4 linked regions of the Caenorhabditis elegans genome follow. The protein of the gene in region 1 interacts with the protein of each later gene in a pairwise test. Each region holds a gene or a part of one and is shown in the gene's direction. Other genes may lie near its edges.

The links.
Region 2: the proteins of rnf-1 (region 1) and ubc-20 interact in a two-hybrid assay, tested with the Caenorhabditis elegans proteins (one study listed by BioGRID).
Region 3: the proteins of rnf-1 (region 1) and rpl-36 interact in a two-hybrid assay, tested with the Caenorhabditis elegans proteins (2 studies listed by BioGRID).
Region 4: the proteins of rnf-1 (region 1) and utp-14 interact in a two-hybrid assay, tested with the Caenorhabditis elegans proteins (2 studies listed by BioGRID).

Annotation. Positions count from the first base shown.
Region 1 is NC_003279.8:6,009,273-6,013,299, reverse strand, and holds rnf-1 (RING-type domain-containing protein), read left to right. Parts: upstream 1-1,713; 5' UTR 1,714-1,829; coding exon 1,830-1,836; intron 1,837-1,888; coding exon 1,889-1,962; intron 1,963-2,010; coding exon 2,011-2,185; intron 2,186-2,231; coding exon 2,232-2,423; intron 2,424-2,473; coding exon 2,474-2,616; intron 2,617-2,660; coding exon 2,661-2,777; intron 2,778-2,824; coding exon 2,825-2,908; intron 2,909-2,956; coding exon 2,957-3,043; intron 3,044-3,089; coding exon 3,090-3,191; intron 3,192-3,260; coding exon 3,261-3,425; 3' UTR 3,426-3,518; downstream 3,519-4,027. Other genes in the region: ints-1 (Integrator complex subunit 1 RPB2-binding domain-containing protein), read right to left, coding at 1-81, 307-671, 730-992, 1,047-1,242; C06A5.8 (RING-type domain-containing protein), read left to right, coding at 3,782-3,830, 3,880-3,959, 4,010-4,027.
Region 2 is NC_003281.10:186,851-191,459, forward strand, and holds ubc-20 (UBC core domain-containing protein), read left to right. Parts: upstream 1-1,987; 5' UTR 1,988-1,990; coding exon 1,991-2,110; intron 2,111-2,162; coding exon 2,163-2,258; intron 2,259-2,325; coding exon 2,326-2,408; intron 2,409-2,464; coding exon 2,465-2,591; intron 2,592-3,551; coding exon 3,552-3,725; 3' UTR 3,726-4,097; downstream 4,098-4,609. Other genes in the region: mxl-2 (Max-like protein homolog 2), read right to left, coding at 172-345, 400-565, 944-1,029, 1,083-1,274; cox-17 (Cytochrome c oxidase copper chaperone), read left to right, coding at 4,147-4,239.
Region 3 is NC_003281.10:7,178,692-7,181,194, forward strand, and holds rpl-36 (Large ribosomal subunit protein eL36), read left to right. Parts: upstream 1-1,559; 5' UTR 1,560-1,560; coding exon 1,561-1,680; intron 1,681-1,730; coding exon 1,731-1,925; 3' UTR 1,926-1,956; downstream 1,957-2,503. Other genes in the region: rps-14 (Small ribosomal subunit protein uS11), read right to left, coding at 339-533, 582-697, 741-888; ndab-2 (Acyl carrier protein), read left to right, coding at 2,071-2,201, 2,402-2,462.
Region 4 is NC_003279.8:5,422,411-5,430,007, reverse strand, and holds the start of utp-14 (Small-subunit processome), read left to right. Parts: upstream 1-1,550; 5' UTR 1,551-1,567; coding exon 1,568-1,719; intron 1,720-1,771; coding exon 1,772-1,972; intron 1,973-2,017; coding exon 2,018-2,117; intron 2,118-2,198; coding exon 2,199-2,596; intron 2,597-2,647; coding exon 2,648-2,765; intron 2,766-2,778; exon of another isoform or gene 2,779-2,810; coding exon of another isoform or gene 2,811-3,569; intron 3,570-3,614; coding exon of another isoform or gene 3,615-3,644; exon of another isoform or gene 3,645-3,735; intron 3,736-3,810; coding exon 3,811-4,330; intron 4,331-4,389; coding exon 4,390-4,646; intron 4,647-4,699; coding exon 4,700-4,846; intron 4,847-6,802; coding exon of another isoform or gene 6,803-7,222; intron 7,223-7,597. Other genes in the region: atp-3 (Oligomycin sensitivity conferral protein), read left to right, coding at 202-261, 385-697, 742-839, 1,016-1,231; F27C1.3 (Dauer Up-Regulated), read right to left, coding at 2,811-3,569, 3,615-3,644; F27C1.4 (uncharacterized protein), read right to left, coding at 6,803-7,222.

The DNA of each region.
Region 1 (4,027 bases):
TCACCGCGAATTGTGTCGAACCAGGGCTTCAGGAATTCCAGAAAGACGTCTAACTGCTTTTGGTGAAGATTCGAGCGGGGACTGAAATCAAAAATGTATTAAAATTAAAATTTGACTTATTCTTTAAACTGTTTTTTTTATTTCCACTTTTCTAACACAGAATAAAAATTTCTTCTGAGATTTTGATAAACTTTAAATGCTTTTCAGCTAGTATTACACCGTTGTTTGTAGATGCTGCTTTTTGTTTCTGTTTAAATTAGGAAAAATATAAGCGAAATTTTTTCTAAAAAATCGTAAATTTATTACCTTTTTTCCCTCGACTTCCCCACTTTTTCAGAGAAGAAGCTCAAAAATTCGGAAATGGCAAAATTCTCAACCTGGCACTGCGCATACATTGCCGGAAATGGATAGACAGTTTCAAACGGATCCAAAATCATTTTCACAAGCTCTGCCGAGCACTCTTTTTCAATCCAGGAGCATCGATTCATTGTGCCGAGTCCAACGCTCATTCCAATAGAATCATGGAGAAATGCTGTTAGATAACATTTATCAAGAATTGGTTGTTGCCTTGCAAGTGAAGTGATTATTGAGATGAATAGTTCGAGAATATTGTCAGGATATGATCGAGAATTGCAAATTACGAAGAGCAGAGCGCGGTGGAGAGGAATTTGCTGAAAATTTTTCAATGATTAGAATTATTCTCCAAGTTTTTGTTAGATTTGAACCAACATTTAGCTTATCCCCATGATTTTTTACGGTTTCCGCAATTGTTCCCATTATTCTGAGCTCCACTTTCAACTTTTCTCCGACAAAGAAGCTCTTGAGCGCGGCGACGAACATTTTAGCGATTTTTGTAAAATGGCCCGCTAAAATCGCCTCCTGTACGCTTTTCTGGAAGGTTTCGATGTTTAAATTGATTGTATCTCCAAAATCTTTCCATTGATCATCGAGATTGGGGCGAACGAGATGGCTGGATTGTAGGGATGGATTTGCTGGAAATTTGTTTAATTATTAGGTGTTTTCTGGGAAAAATTGAAAATTTTTACCGGAATTACTTAGCGTTGGCTTTGGTGGAATACAAGTTTTTGATCTAAAATCCAACTTCGCTTTAACTCCTCCAGAAGTTGACGGTCCGCCAGTGCCTCCACTAGTCGTCGGGAGTTTATGGTTCAGTTTCGCCTTTTTCATGTCCTCCGGCTTCATAATCGTATCATTTAGGCGTTTGTGTTTTTTACGTTCCATTATTTATAAGATTCTAAACGAGAAACTCTTAAGATTTTCCGGAAAATAATGATAAAAACGGTTGTGAAATTGAATGAGAATAAAAAAACGAAACAAGCACGAGTGAGGCAGGTGCGCTCCAATGCGAATTTCTTTGCGCGGATGTTTAAATGGTTATTTTTTTATGGGAATCGACAAGTCACATGCTACGCTAGAGAGAGTTTTACATTTTACAGTCTTTTTGGAATTTAATAATATATATATTATCATAAAATCGAATAAAAATTGTTTCGAATAATGAATAGCTTTGTTTTTTCGTCTTGACTTCTGAAATAATTTTAAATTTGAGAAAAATTTGTGTCGCAATATATAATTATTAATATTATTAATAATGTAATTTTTTTATAATAAACTGATTTATATTTTAAAAACAAAAAAGGAATGACAATTCAGTTTAGTTTTATGAAAAACTTTGAAAAGACAAAAATAATTACAGTAAACGCGCTCCGCTAGACTCCCCAAATTTGTTTTTGTTTTCCAGGCTTGTGTCCAGGCAAATTCCAGCTTTCTTTTTGTTTCAGAATTTCTAGGTATTTATCTCCGTGAAAATGAGCGGTAAGATTGACAATCTCGAGTTTGTATTAAAATTTATTAAATTTCATTTCAGAAAAAAATACCGAAAATCCAGAAATTCTATCAACAGTCTTGGCTGGGTACTGCCAGTGCCAAGTCTGCTATCAGGTACTAATTTCCTAGTTTTACTCAATTTTCTACAAAATATGTTTGCAGCCTTTTAATGAAACCACAAAATTGGCTCGGTCCTTGCACTGTGGCCACACTTTCTGCACAGAATGCATCAGAAACGTGCAAAACTACGGTAATTCCCCACATTTAGAGTGCCCTACTTGCCGTGCGGAAACTAAAAGCAACATCGAAAATGTAGCACCAAATTTTTCAATTATGGGTAAGTTTTACCTCTTTTGAGTATTGAAATCCACGTTTTTTCTCAGAATTGGCAAGGAATTTCGGGCTTCTGGGTCCTCCAGTTGACGCTCCGCGAACTTCCTCTAGTTGCTGCTCAAATAAAACGAATAGAGATGAAATGATTGATAATAAATTCCGCGAGCTGCTTGTTGAAGTAAAAAGCAGTCTCATTCACCATTTTGACGTTTTCCGCATCAAATCACAGCTATGGAGTCTAGGCAAAGCCAAATGTGTATAAGTATTTTCTATAAAAACTGAATTTTTTCAGCAGAAGCCGAGCGAGAGGTCAGCAACATGGCTGAAGCCTTGGCAGGGGCTGTTTCTGAATGTTATTACGATTCTGACGACAATTCTGATGCGAATTCTGAGGATCAGCGAGTTCGAACTATGCTAAGGTTCTTGGCAGCAAGAGTTAGTTGATATTTTCCATGCTCCCTTGATTTGAAAATTTTCAGGACAGCGATTCTGAGACTACAGAAGACTCAACAGATTTTCTAGAATCAAATACTACTGTCCCGGACAGAACACTGGGTGGCGGTTTCTATCGCAATTTTCGTCGTCTTTTTGGAGACGTTAGTTTTCATCGAGTTAAACATTTAGAATAGAAAAAATCTTTCAGGAAAACGAACTAGATGATCCAGGTGTGGTTTCAGGTATTGAGGAGGCGGCCGCCTACCGACGTTTTCGAGGACTTTTTGGAAATGTAAGTGTCACTGTCGACAAGTTTATATTTTAGAAAAAATGTTTGCAGGACAACGACAGCATTTCGCAGGTTTCCACAACTTCCGGCAGTTTTGGGAATCATGAGAATGATCATTTTTGTCCGTTTTCCGATGACGTTAGTAGGACTTTGAATTCGATTGTTAATCTTTTTTCTAATTCAGGATAATATCTCCGAATGTTCCGATGACTACTATCCCACATTGGTTATGCCTGAAACAGATGAAGAGGAGACGTACAAAAGTTTTCGCTGCCTTTTTGGAGATGTATGTAAATTTATTGTCAGACGGCTATTTTTTAAACTAAAACAGCTGAAATTAAGAAAAAAATTCCAGGAAAACGGGAACCTCGACTTTTCCGACGACGAAAAAGAATTCTCCGACAATGAATCTTCACTCAGCTCAGTTTCCACTGAAGACTTTCCGAATTCGCACATAGAAGAAGCCGGCAGAGTTCTTCACAGATTTCTTCTGCTCTCTGCTCTTCTGAATGAAGAATAAATTACTATATAATTCAATTTTATCCCGTCTCCGCCTGAAATTTTTGTATTGTTTTACATGTTTTAATAGAGAAAATAAAGATCTCTTCTTGTTTTCCCCTGAAAAATCTGTGCGATTTCCTTTATTTTATTTTCGCTTTTGTTTCTCTTCAAAAGTGTTTTTTTTTCTCATTCAAAAATTCAGGACTTTCAAGGGAACCACATTTATTTGGAAAGGTCTCGCCGCGAAATCATAATTCAAACATGGTTGTTCATGTGCCTTTAAGATTACTGTAGAAAGTTTTGGAAGAAGTTTTGAATTTTTTTCTCCTTTCTTTCCCAAAAATCACCTACTTAATTTAGCATTTTCAGCCATAAATGTCCGCAACAAAAAGTGAAATGCCTGCGGATGTGGCATCTGTAACAGGTAATTTTTCGTTTTTATAAGATCTGGTTCCAAAATTCGAAAATTCCAGATAGTTCGGCTGCGTCGCCTGCATTCCCGCTGATAGGTGATTTTCTCGAGGAGTTTCTCAAATGCCAAGTCTGCTGCACTGTGAGTGCCCCACTTGTTTTATTGTTCAAAAATTAAACTTTCCAATTTAGAATTACAATGAGACGACA
Region 2 (4,609 bases), on another chromosome or scaffold:
TTCACAGAAATGTCCACTGAAGTTACTCAGAAGCTTCTGGATCGAGTTCTTCAATTAACTACCAAAAGTTAATTTTATGTTCCAAACTATTTTCTTTTTTGTTGTTAAATTTCATTTTTACGCGTTGAATAATACATTTGTTGATTAAAAATCTGGAAATTCTTCTCAATACTATGGCGAAGTGAAGGGCATTGTGACCATTTTTCCGGCTGTCGACTTGAATGGCTCCGCATTTGGCGCCAGGCTCTCCACCCACGACAGGAGCGTTCTGGTGATCGTTGCGTACGTGGTGAAGTCCACTTGGGAGGAGAACGAGGTGAAGCAGTCGTCGAGGAGAAGTTGGAGCTGAAAGTTGGAGAATTTCGACTTAAAAATCTGGAAATTTCAGTAAATTCTAACCATTTTGACTTGAATCGTGGACTGGCCGGCGTCAGGAACCGAAGAAGCCATCTGCTCGTACTCTGAGGCAATCATTTCCAGTGCGGCCGCTTGTGCGTTGAGCTGGGCCAGTTGCTTGTCGGCGTCGGAGATGTCGGTTTTCAGTTGGGACATGAAGTCGCAGGCTCTGGAAATTATTGAATTTTCGGGGAAATTTGCAGAATTTTGAAGGTTTTTAAGCAAAAAATGGGCTTAGCAGACTGGAATTGTGATTTTTCCCGCTGAAAAACACGAAATTCTTGAAAAAAATCGTGCTTTTTAATGTAAAAAACTTGAAATTGTCATCAAAATTCGATAATTTCGCAATTTGGGTATGCTAAATCCACGTTGGTCTGCTAATTATTTAGCAGACCCAACTATGGTCTGCTAATTATTTAGCAGACCCAAGTATGGTCTGCTAATTATTTAGCAGACCCAACTATGGTCTGCTAAATATTTAGCAGACCCAAATTTTTATGTTTTCCAGTTATTTTTCCTTCAATTTTTCAGTATTTTCAGCCAGTACCTGAATAAAATCGCGGCGTTTGTAGTTTTACATCCCAGCGAAGTCGTTGTCTGAGGAATTAAATCCTTTAAATCACTGTATCCGCTCTGAAAAGTTGAAATTTTAGCTTTTTTCCACGAATTTCCAAGCTTCAACAAACATTTATAGCTTCTCTTCGCTGCCGTTCACACCTCAAGTGCGTCGCCTTCTTTCTATCCGAGCTAAATCCGCCGGAATTCGTCGCTGGCGTGTTTGGGGCCGATGGGGAGCTCGCCGAGCCGTCCGGCGACATTAGGTCCATATCGTCCGGCTTTTGAGAGGAGCTGGCAGCTGCGGAACGGCTTCGAGACATTTTTGGGCTGAAAAACAGAGAATTTCAGTAGAGTAATTGGGAAAAAAACGAAGAAAAACGCGGATTTTTGAAATTTGGGTCTGCTGATTAATTAGCAGACCTAATTGTTCCCTGGCAAGATTTTTTTTGAAGATTTCAATCAATTCTAGATATTTTCTGAACGGGTTTCTCAATAAACAAATGGAAATTCCCTCTAAACCTTGAGAAAATTAGAAGTATTTCGGCAAAAACGTTCAATTTTCTTTTTTGAGAAAAATCATGATGCAAAAACTAAAATTCCTATAAAAACTTAATCAATCTGTGAATCGATACTTCCGATCACGGGTTTGATCGTTTGAACCCGTTTTTTCTCGGCGACAACGATGCTCCGACTTAACGCACGGTTTTCTCCGGTTTTTCCGGGTTTTTGTTCAATTTTACTGTGATTTAAGCAATTTTTCGCATAAAAATTGGTTTTTCAACATTTTTCTACATGATTTTTGATTTTTATTCACGAAAAACGATGAAAAATCGATGAAATTCGGGGAAAAACAAAAATTTCAGTTGCAAACGATGCTCCGAAATTCCGCGGCGCGCCCTGTTTATCATGAGTTGGTGTTTGAATAATTTTGATGATAATTTCAGACTTTCTCGAAGCTTTTTCGATAATTCCTTGAACTTCATGATTTTCGTCGATTTTTCAGAGTTTTTCCACTATTTTCCATCGTTTTCAGACCATGTCGAACATAGCATTCAACAGACTCCAACGAGAATGCAAAGAGGTCGTCACAAACTCGGAAATCAGCGAAACCGGAATTATGATCGAGATATTGAACGAGAATCTCACCGAAATCAAGGTAAAACGCCGCGAATTGTGTGTCGGAAATCTCAATTTTTATCGGTTTTCAGGGACACATCCGCGGTCCACCAGACACTCCATACGCCGGTGGAATGTTCGATTTGGATATTAAGATTCCAGACCAATATCCATTCTCGCCACCAAATGTACGAGTTTTTCTGCCTGGAAAGCTTGAAAATTGTCGAAATTTGTGTAAAAATCGCGGTTTTTCAGGTCAAGTTCAGCACAAAAATCTGGCACCCGAATGTCAGCTCGCAGACCGGCGTCATTTGCCTCGATATTCTTAAGGATCAATGGTAATATTGCGATTATTATTTTAAAATCGGAAAATTTAATTTATTTTCAACTTCAGGGCCGCTTCGCTGACTCTTCGCACGGTTCTCCTGTCGATTCAGGCGTTGATGTGCACACCGGAGCCCAAGGATCCTCAAGATGCCGTCGTCGCCAAGCAATACATGGAGAAGCCAGCAGTTTTCAAGGTAGCAGCGTGGAAAATTCAGAAAATTCGCGGAAAAATGGGGAAAATATTGCGAAATCCGATTAAAAAATCAATATGGGTCTGCTAAGTAATTAAGTAATTAGCAGACCCAAATCTTCCCTTATTTTGTGTGTTTTTTTGCGTATTTTGCCCCAAAAATTATCTATAATTTCCCATTTTTCAGGCCAACTCGAGTTTTGAAGCGTCAAAATTGAGAAAATTCGATGGGAAACGTGCAAAATTCGTTAATTCCCGAATTTTGGAGACAATTCTGACTGTTTTACACTGAAATGCACGATTTTCTCGGAAAATTATTGATTTTTGCCCTGAAATTTCAGAATTTGGCCGATTTTCTTTAGAATTTGGGTCTGCCAACTAATTAGCAGGCTTGTAGAAACGCCACGTGGTTTTCGATGGTCTGCTAAATATTTAGCAGACCCAAGTATGGTCTGCTAAATAATTAGCAGACCCAAGTATGGTCTGCTAAATAATTAGCAGACCCAAGTATGGTCTGCTAAATATTTAGCAGACCCTAATCCCGTATTTATCCTTTAAATTTAGTTTTTTTCGCGGAATTTACTGGTTTTTTCTTGTTTTTCAACCAGGAAATCGTTCAAATTCATCACTTTTTGTCCCAGAAGCCGAGAAAAATCAGTTTTTCAGCTCATATCGAAATTTGTTTTTCAAAAAGAAATTATAAAAAAGTTTAGCAGACCCAAAACTCAACAAATTTGGCGAAGTTGTTTTTAGTCTAAAAACTCGAATTTCCCCGAAAATTCGTTGTTTCCAGTGAGTGTAAAAACTCGAGAAATCTCAAAAAAAAAATTGGTTTTCATTCGAATTTTCTCAATTTCCACGCTTGAAAACTTTAGGTAGCCTAGAAAATAGACAAACATAGACAACATAAACTGAATAATAGCCTAATATGCTCTTAATATACTAAATTTCCACCATTTTTCAGGCCACCGCCGAGTACTGGACGACAAAATTCGCAAAGGGAGCCGTGAAAAACGCCGGATACCAGGCTCTCGTCGACAAGCTCAAGGATATGGGAGTCCGTGAGGAAGAGGCTGTCAGCGTGCTCAGCTGCAACAATTGGGACATCAATCGCTCGACGGTCTACATTTTCTCTTAAATTCTTTTTTATTCGATTTTTTTGAATTTTTTCTGTGAGCCTCTTGTCTTGAAGTTTGTGTCCTAAAAATCCCTTATTTCTTCCATTTTTTTCCGAGAAATTTTCGTCCCCAACCCCCCGCACCACTGGTATTTCTTTTTACCAATTCGTACCATCCTCACCCCAAAAAAACCGATCAGAATAGTAGATTTTCCGCCTGATTTGTGTGTGTTTTGCCTATTTATTATCGATATTATTCATTGAAATTTCCCCCCTTTGACCCCCATTTTTTTTGCAACGATACTCTTTCCATGAATTATATTGACGGAGTTGTAGCTGCAATTTTTATCCGATTTTCTGAAAATTTTTGGCGAATGTCGTTTTTAATATCTTTAAAACTCCATTTTTATCTGTAAAATCTATAATTTTAGCACCCAAAAAAATGCCAGCAGAGCCACAAAAATCCACAGAAGCCGGCAGCGTGGCACCGGAGAAGAAGCTGAAAGCGTGCTGCGCGTGTCCTGAAACGAAACGAGTGAGGTTTTGATGGAAAATGGAAAAATGGCGAAAAATTCCAATTTTGCGGTTGAAAATCGCTAAATTTTACATTTCGACTATCCAAAACTGATTTTTCCGAGTTTTTGCATCAAAAATCGAGAATTTCTGGGAAAAAACTCAATTTTGAACATAAATTCGAAAAAAAATGGGTCTGCTAAATATTTAGCAGACCCATTTTTGGTCTGCTAAATATTTAGCATACCCAACTTTGGTCTGCTAATTATTTAGCAGACCCAAGTATGGTCTGCTAAATATTTAGCAGACCCCAGTATGGTCTGCTAAATATTTAGCAGACCCCAGTATGGTCTGCTAAATATTTAGCATACCCAATTTTGGTCTGCTAAACA
Region 3 (2,503 bases), on another chromosome or scaffold:
GCATCAGTATACTTTAACTACATATATCGAATAAAGAAAATTATCGAGATCAAAGGAAATATCAGAATAGTGGCAACTGGCCAGGCAGGTGCTATTAACTACGACAAGGCTATCTTCAATATTTGGAATTCTACTTCTTCAACAAATAATACCAGTTATTGATAAATTCTCGAAGCAAGCATTTTAAACGTAGCTGAGCCTTCGATCTGAACAAACTCCCAGCCAGAGCATACTTAACTATATTATCGACTAAACGTTTTTCGGTCTACGCCATTTTCAGTGTGTAACGCAAATAAATTCTTTTGAACAATGTATTCTTTCGAATAACAAGTAACAACTTAGAGACGACGTCCACGGCGACCTCCCTTTCTTCTGGTGCAGTCGGATGGGATTGGGGTAACGTCTTCGATTCTTCCAATCTTCATTCCAGCGCGAGCGAGGGCACGAAGAGCAGACTGAGCTCCTGGTCCTGGGGTCTTGGTTCTGGTTCCTCCAGTAGCACGAAGCTTGATGTGAAGAGCGTTGATTCCGAGCTGAAAACATTAACTTATTGCAGTAGCATTGATAAAAATTTAACTCACTTGTTTGCAACGATCAGCGACGTCTTGAGCGGCGAGCATAGCAGCGTATGGCGATGACTCGTCACGATCGGCCTTGACCTTCATTCCTCCGGTAACTCGAACGATGGTTTCACGTCCTAAAATTATTTGATAATTTTTGTTTCAAAATTATAATTTTACCTGAGATATCGGTGATGTGGACGAAAGTGTCGTTGAACGAAGCAAAGATGTGAGCGACTCCGAAGATGAGCTCTCCTTCTTTGGCCTGTGGTCCAAGGGACACGACAGCCTGTTCCTCCTTAGCCTTTCCCTTACGAGCGGGAGCCATTATCCAAGACTAAAATTGAATTCCTTGATTAAATATTTTACTAACTATGGCAATGAGGACAACGGAGAAAAAAAAATTTATGATAAGCCGAGTAAAAATTATATATAATTAATAAAATACGTCTTGTAAAATTTATTCTCATTGATTTTTAAAGAAATTCTCAACATTTCACCATAAAAACGTTTTAAAAATCGAAAAAGAAAATCGAAAAATACGATTTACACAGAAAATGTTTTGGCTGCGTATCATTTCCATGGAAAAAGTCGCTACGCAGCCAATGGTCTCACCACGATTTTCCATTTTCTCTTGTTTCGCCCCGCCGACGATAATAGGATGCTGGTTTTTTCGATTTTTTCACGATTTTTACAGGAATTTCTTGTTAAAATTTCGTCTAAAAACACCAAATTAAATTGGTTAAACTATTTTACACTGAAAAATCACACTATATGGGTGTTTTCACGTCTCACATATTGATTTTTGAGAGATCTTCTTTCAAGGCCAAATTGGGCATCAATTCGATAAATTTCCAAAGTTTTTTACCTATATATGCGGCAAATTTGTGATTTTTTATTTAATTTGTACCAATAGGATATATGTTCGCTAGTTTATTTCTCGTAACTTAATCGCAACTCTAATCGTATTCCTAAACTAATTATTTTGTATAATTTCAGGATGAGCGGACCAGGAATTGAAGGTTTGGCCGTCGGTCTCAACAAGGGACATGCTGCTACCCAACTTCCAGTTAAGCAGCGTCAAAACAGACACAAGGGAGTCGCCTCCAAGAAGACCAAGGTTTGTTATTATCCAATTTTTCGGATTAAAATATTTATTAAAGTTTTTAGATCGTCCGAGAGCTCGTTCGTGAGATCACCGGATTCGCTCCATACGAGCGTCGCGTTCTGGAAATGCTTCGTATCTCCAAGGACAAGCGCGCCCTCAAGTTCTTGAAGAGACGCATCGGAACCCACCGTCGTGCTAAGGGAAAGAGAGAGGAACTCCAAAACGTCATCATCGCTCAACGCAAAGCCCACAAATAATTTTGTTGCTGTTGATAAATTGTTGTTATCCAAAATCTCGTTTTTTCTTGTTCTGACTTTGAAAGAATGCGTGGATTCGCCTCAATTACTTGAGGATAGATAGTTATGGATTATGAAAGAACCTCATTCTTTTAGAAGGGTTAAAATGTTTGGTCGTCAAGTTGGACGCGTCGTTTTCAGAACTGCCTCGGTGGTAGTTCAACGGAGATCTGTGTCAGCTTCGGTGCCGCAAATGGTCAAGCTCGTGGCTCCATCTGTAAATTTCATTCAAACTAGGTAACATTCTTCAGGAAATTTTGTGGTGCTAAAAATCAAGGCAAATGCTTATTTGTAGAAGAAGGTTTTTTGAGGAAAATAAGTGAAAAAGAGAACTACCTTTTAAATCAAACTGAGTAACGATAAAACAATTTCCACATTAAAGTTTTGATTTTTGGAGTTCAGACATACTCTTTAGAAAAAAAGGTCGGTATTTTCAGGGGAAGCAAAATTGAAGTCTTCGGACCATTCGACCCCCCAAAGCAACTCACATTCAAACAGGTAGCTGAAACAAACGGAAGACTTTTTCAGGCCGTATATTT
Region 4 (7,597 bases), 590 kb from region 1:
CAAACAAGAAAACTCCACAAAAAAAATTGTCTAAAAATTGCAGCACCAAATGCGCTCTACTGAACTGACAGCCGGTGATTTGGCTGCGTACCTTGGCTTATGGTTAAGAGAGTGATACTCAGCCAACGACCGCCCTTTTTCTCTTGAAATTAGCTTTCAGTTCTTTTTTATCGAATTTCAGTTAAGTTTTTGTACTATTTTATGCGAATTTTTATCCCAAGCAAGCCTCTTTACCTATATTTGACTATTCTTCACGAAAAAGTATGTAAAAATCCACTCTTTATTATTTTTTTCTTAATTAAATTTAAAAAGTTGTTTTAATTAATTCGTTTGCTTGCATACATTTATTAAATTTAAATTTTGCCTAATTTCTTAATTTTGCAGGTAATGGCGCAACTCATGAAACGCGGATTCTCCACGAGCGCTGCTCTCGCTAAGGCTCAGCTGGTGAAGACCCCGATTCAGGTTCATGGAGTCGAGGGACGTTACGCCGCCGCTCTTTACTCAGCCGGACACAAACAGAACAAGCTCGACCAGATTTCCACAGATCTGAACAATGTTCGCTCCGTGTACAAGGACAACAAGAAGTTCCAAGAGTTCGTCCTCGACCCAACTCTCAAGGCCAACAAGAAGAAGACCGCCATCGAGGCTATCTCAACTAAATTGGGGCTTACCAAAGAGACTGGAAACTTCCTTGGTATTTTGTTAACGTGTAATTACAAATTTAATTGTAACTTTCAGGACTTTTGGCTGAGAACGGACGTCTGAACAAGCTCGAGTCAGTTGTTTCTTCATTCGAATCCATCATGCGCGCTCACCGTGGAGAACTTTTCGTTCAGGTACTTTTATTATAACTGCCAAGAAAAACAATGTTTCTTTTGAAATTTGTTTTCGTAAAATTATAAAATATGAATAGCGAATGTTTTCAATACGTAGAAATGGAAATTTTCAAGTCTAAATTTTAATCCTGAAGATGCTCGTACGTACCGTTTTAAAAACTAAAAATCATTTTCAGGTCACCTCCGCCGAAGAATTGAGCTCATCAAACCAGAAGGCATTGTCTGATGCCCTTAGCAAGATCGGAAAGTCTGGACAAAAGCTCACGGTGACTTATGCCGTCAAGCCATCGATTCTTGGAGGACTTGTTGTCACTATCGGAGACAAGTACGTCGATCTGTCGATCGCTTCCCGTGTCAAGAAATACAAGGATGCCCTTGCCACCGCCATCTAAATTTTTCCCAAAAAATTTAGTTCCTCATCCCGATTTTCAATCTGTGCTTCAAACCAGTTCCCTGCCTCATCATACCCAATCATTGAAGATGGTGTTTTAAAGAGTTGTTTAGTAATCGGTTTTATGTATTGTCTTCATTTTCTAGTGGGTCATAACATCAGCAGTGTAATTGTTTGTTCCAGAATTTTAAGTTTCTTTATTGTACTCTCAACAAATAAATAAATAGATCTGTGAAAAATTTCAATTATATTGACCTCGTTCTGTCGGTTACCATTTACTTCTTAATAATGTTTTGAAAGAAAACAGAATAAAATTATAGAAATTTGAGAAACAGAAATGAGTGATGACTCGGATCTTGATGACGTTGCTCATCAGAAGCTTCTGCAATCAATTCACACACCTGGAACTGTAAAGAAAAATCGTCTGAAGAAAGCATCAAAAACAAAAACCGACGCAACTTCTCTTCTATCTCATCTTACAGTTTCAAGGTATTTGAAAAACAAATTTTTTTTTAAATTTAGGATTTTTGCAATTTTACAGACCTTCAACCAACAAAGCCAAGCAAAGTCTCGGAATTGGTGGCCTAGAGTCGACAGAAAAAACAGGAAAGAAGCGAAAATCGGAAGCAACAGCAGATGAAACAACTACGAAAAAGAAGCTGAAAAGCAAAACATTAATTCCTCTAAAAGATGTTGAAGCTCGAAAGGAGATTGAAGGAAAAATTGCGTTCACTGATTTGAAGTGAGATTATTGATTTGTGATTTAATTAATAAGATATTTTTACAGAAAAGAAGTGACACAAAATTGGACAGAGCTCGTTCAAAGCAACCGCGTCAGTGATCAATTGATCTTCCCTCTCACAAAACCGGATGGAATTATGTGGGGTGTAAGTTGTTGCTTCCAAATTAAACTGTTCTAAAATTTAATAAAAGTGGAAAAATTGCTCCTAATAATTATTTTCGTTCAGGACGAGAAAACCGAGCCCGTACTGACCGAAAAGGAGATGGAATTGATGAAGGCTACAGATATTAAAATGGCAAAAGATCGTCTTTCACAAATGCAACGAATGCGTGCTATTGTTGGAATCCAAGAGGCCAAGAATCGATATATGAAGAAAATCAAATCGAAAGGATATCATCGAATTCTAAAAAGAGAAAAACGAAAACAACTTTTAAAAGAGTTTGATGATTTGGTTGCTCGTGATCCATCCGCTGCTCATGAAAAACTTGCCGAAATGGATTTACAGCGAATCATGGAAAGAGGAAGTTTGAAGCATCGCGGACAGAATCAGAAATTCAAACAGATGCTGGAAAAACATGCTAGCCGAAATCCAGAGGTCAAAAAATTGCTCGATGAGCATTTGAGGTTAGATATTAATTTTGGAACAAAAATTTTAAAATGGGAATATTTTTTCAGAATGGGAAGAGAATTAAAAGCAAAAGTCGCAACTACCGCTGAAGATTCTGATGGTGAAGCTCCAACTTCAACGGAAGATCCACAAAATAAAAAGAAGAGTATTCATGAGTTAATCAAGGTAAGTGAGACATAAACTACTAATTCATTAGACGGATTCAAGTTCTCAATAAGCTTTCTTCTTATCTGCACCGAAAACATCTTGATTGAGACCAGCCAGGGTTTGGTAGTTCGGGTCATGAGTTGCAGCCTTAGCACCATGTTGAGCAGGAGCTTTTGGTGGAGCTGGTGCACCATTTCCTCCTCCTCCACCTCCACCAACACCACCTTTTTGATCGAACACGTTGTTATTCAAACCAGCAAGAGTCTGATAGTTTGGATCGTGTGTTGCAGCCATTCCAGGTTTACCTCCTGCTGCTGGAGCCTGTGGTCCTGCTCCACCACCACCTTTCTTATCGAAAACATTATCATTCAAGCCGGCAAGAGTTTGATAGTTAGGATCATGAGTTCCGGCCATTCCTGGTTTTCCGTCCGGAGCTTTTGGAGCAGCTCCACCACCACCACCGCCTTGTTTTTGCTCAAAAACGTTATCGTTCAATCCGGCCAATGTCTGGTAGTTGGGATCATGGGTGTCAGCAATTGCAGCACGATTTTTCGGAGGCTTTGGAGCTCCGGCAGGAATCTTTCCCTTTTCCTTGGCTGCTGCTTTTTTCTTTTTTGCCGCAATCGCATCGTTTTTCTTCTTTTTACGACGCTTTTCATCATCCTCATCATCGTCATCATCATCACCTCCAGTAGTTCCTCCAGTTGTTCCTGTTTCATCTGAGTATTTTTTCTTTCCTTTCGACTTCTTCCCGCAGTTCACCAGAATAGCTGCCGGAACTGTCCAACACAGAGCAAGTTGCAGAAGTATCATAAAAATTGGCTGAAATTTTTATATTTTTTGGATTTTTTAGTTTTCAAACAATACCTGTAAACCAAATAACTCCATGCTCATCATTTGTGATATAGTTATCGATATATCCACAACTGTAGTTTGAGATCGAAGAAATAAAAATAAAAGAGTTATCAAGTAGAGGATTTTGAAAAATGATGATTTATTCTTCACGTAGTAACATTCTATTTTTTAAAATTTTATATTTAAAATTAATTTTAAAAAATTTCAGGATGCCGCCCAAGAAGCGGAGAAAGAATCCAGAAAACAAGTTGGCACGGCTCTAGTTGATACTTTCCTCGAAGACTCCGATGCTCAAAAAGTGACACTTGCTCAGATGCGAGCCAAGAAACGACAAGAAGCTGCTATAACTCGAAGTATTTCAGCGAATACTGGTGCATCACGTGAAAATCCTCTATTCGACGTCGATGACACTTGGCAAGAGAAAGAAGATGCGAAAAAGGCAAAGCAGAAGAAAAAGAAGCTACTAAAAGCGAAGGAGTCAGCGAGAAAAGGAACAATTGGAAAAGTATCATATGTTGATAAGAATTATGATCCGAAGATGGAGGCTAAACGTGCAGAAACTTTTGATGAAAAAGTGGAAAAGGCAGTGGATTCAGCTGGAGTGCATGCCGCTGAAAAACGACAAAAGGAAATTGAAATCGATCCGAGCAAATTTCTAGAGCTCAACACAAACGACTTGACACAAGTTTCGTCGGATTTTGTTGAGAAAATGGATCAGTTTGATGAAGGTAAGCTTAATCTTTTTTTTTCTTTTTATTAACTATATTCCAACGATTTTTTCCTGCAGAAGCCGCTCAAGTTATCAATGAAGCTTTCAAGGATGATGACGTCATTGGAGATTTTGAAGATATGAAAGAAGGAGTGAAAGAAAAGGAAAAAGTTAAAGATGTAGATCTCAATTTGGCCGGATGGGGCTCATGGGTTGGACCAGGAATGACTGAGAAGAAGCGACGCCAAAACTTTGTGATTAAAGCAAAAGAGAAGAGAAGAAGGGACGGAGAGAGAAACGGAGTAATTATTGCTGAAAATATGACGGCTAAGGATGTAAGCACCTGATATATCTCCTAGATTTTTTAATTGCAAAAATGAGCTTTCAGGGTATCGGAAAGATCCAGCCACGTTCTCTACCATTCCCCTACTCCCGAGTTGAAGACTATGAGGCTGTGCTAAAACAACCGTTGGGTCTTGAATGGAATATGGAGAAGATGCGAGATGAGTTGTGCAAACCTGCGGTTGTTGTTGAGGTAAGCTTTATTATATTTTACAGTTTTATTGAACATGAAAATTATGTTGAAACAAAGAGAAGGAGAAGAGAACCGTGAACAGTGGAAAAAAACGAGTGAAAACAAGGAAAGAAAGGCATTGGACTGGGAGTGTGTGATGGGTTGGACCTGAATTGTTTCAAACAAAAAAAAAGTTGATAAAACAACAGATGAAGTGGTTATAAGTAGGGAAAACATGAATAATTTAAAAATAATTAGTTTTGATCATCCGAACTAGACGAAGATCTTGCGAAGTCAATGACATGGCAACGATTCCTCCAAATCAACGAAAACGTTTTCTTCCGTGGTGATTCCTCGAGCGTACTCGTACATTATGACATACAAAGCATGATCATCGAGCATATCGTAGTCTTCCTTCTCGTCCAGTTGTTCCTTGGAAGATGCTTCCACCTCTGCAGGCTCTAAAGTCTCTAGCTTCTCTGGTACAGCTGGTTCTTCTTGTTGTGGAACCTCTACGAGTTCGACTGGAGTAGTGTCTTCAGTAACCGCGTTGACAAGTGTTCCGACGGTTTCAGCTGCAGATGTGACCATTTCTGATACGGAATTCCAGATGGAGGTTGCATAGGAGAAGTAAGACATTTTGAGAACTTGTGGTTCTGAAAATGAAATAAGTTTTAGTCATTTTAGATAAGGAAAATATGAATAGAAGGGCTGAGGAAACAAACACGCAATTTCATAATCTATTGTGCCAAAAAAGGGATAGTTACGAAATCGAGGTAATATGGAAATCAAACTACATAGAAGAAATTAAGAACATAGAGCCTAGGTAAAAAAAACGACGGACGACTGAACACCCAACGTATGGCAGGCTGCCAAATAGGCGTGACTGTGCACAAAAACGCTCGATCTGATGTAACAGTATACACCTTTGTAATCAATAACTTTCTGGCGGCTAACGAGACCATTTGATTATTATTCCAACATAGTAGAGGAAGAGAAGAGACAATATAGAGTCCCAGAATATGGATCAATATAATAGGTTTTTGAGAGTTGGTCTTTTTAAATTTGGTTTAGAAATAAGTTTCGATAAGTTTTTAAAGAATACAATTTTTAAAATCTTCATATTATTTAAAAATGTAAATCGAAAATAATGAAAGAAGAAACTGTATATATTAGAGAATCGAGTAGTAGTAGTGTTTAGAGAATTAGAGATAAAAAAATACAGTACCCCTATGAGACTCAGTGCAACCTTGCATATGCTCCCCTAAAATCATATGCAACTATTTGGTTTTTTTTAAAATCAAATTGCACAATATTTCGAATTTTCAGCCGAAAGAAAAATTCAAAAATTCTTGCAACTTTTGTTCACAATAAATTTTTTCAAAACTGATTTTGATATAATTTCGGAATAGGGACCACTTTTTACATTTGAGACAGCTCTTTTCGATTTTAAAATATTTAGAAAGGTGTATAATGTCACAAAATATAAGCGAACATCTATCATCTGTGCATATATATGCACTGGCACGGGAGACAGGAACCGAACGGCACATGTGACGAGTTCATTTTGATGTCACAAGCTTTTCCCTTTTTCGTTAAAAAAAAAGTAGACTATAAAAACAAACAAACACTGTTCTAACAAGAAAATATGCAAAAATGAACACGCAAACTGGCGAATGTTGTTCGAGTTGTAATAGGTTGCGAAATTAACCGATAAGAAGCTCGATATTCTGTTATTAATAGATTTTTTACATTAAGTATTGCCCATGATTTCTAACACCTCAAATCCCTGTTGTCTTTGAAATTTCTTGTCTGAAGTAGTTTTTATTGCCAAGGACATTGTAGAATTGATCACGTACGAAAGTTTATTGTGAAACATTGTGAAAACCGGTAAATATTACCGAAAACATGACATAAATTGGACAGTAATATTAAAATAGACCCGAACATGTATAGGATTTCTTCGTTCATCCCAGATCATTTGGAATTCTTCATCCACTCGTAGTTGTTTTGCACCATCTCAAATTGATTGTGCCTGATTGGACCCGTCTCGTCTGGATTCTCATGGATCACTTCCCATTCGATCGATGTATTTGGTGACGATGCTCCTATCGCCTCCTGGTGAACATCCTCTGTCGTCTCCTTTTTATCCTCTTGAAGATCAGACGACGCCGCCGCCGCCCCTTGTTGCTCCCATGAGAAGACTTCAGAAGAAGCCGTGGCATCCTCTGAGCCAGATCCCCACTCGAGAGCAGTCTGACTGATTTGTGTTAGAGCCTGTGTTGCTCCTTCGGCAAGTGCAGAAGCTCCTCCAACAAGGTTCGCTGCCTGTTCTGTGACTGCTGGGACGACGGTTGTGGACATGAAGGTGTAGAGTCCATTGACGATGGAGTTCATTGTTTAGTTGTAGTTTTCTGAAAAAAAATAATATATACAAAGAGACAAGTTAGACCGGCAACGGAAGGAAAAAAGAATGAAAGTGAAAGTTCGAACGGAGTAGGATTTACAACAGGATTGACTTCATAAAAATTTAAATCAAGTGCATGTATTTTATCCTAGTGTACTATCTGCCTAGATTTTTTGAATCTAGGTGTAATATTTACGGAAAAAAAAGAAAATGAAGAGACAAAGTAGATATATCTCCGATGTGCTCTTTCTACCACCAGAATGCGAATGGCAACTAATGACTAGTAACAGAATAAGAAAGACGAGAAGATGAAGAGGAACGCTGTGTTGTCCTTACGTTCTTCCTATGTCTCTTTCTCTTTTCTC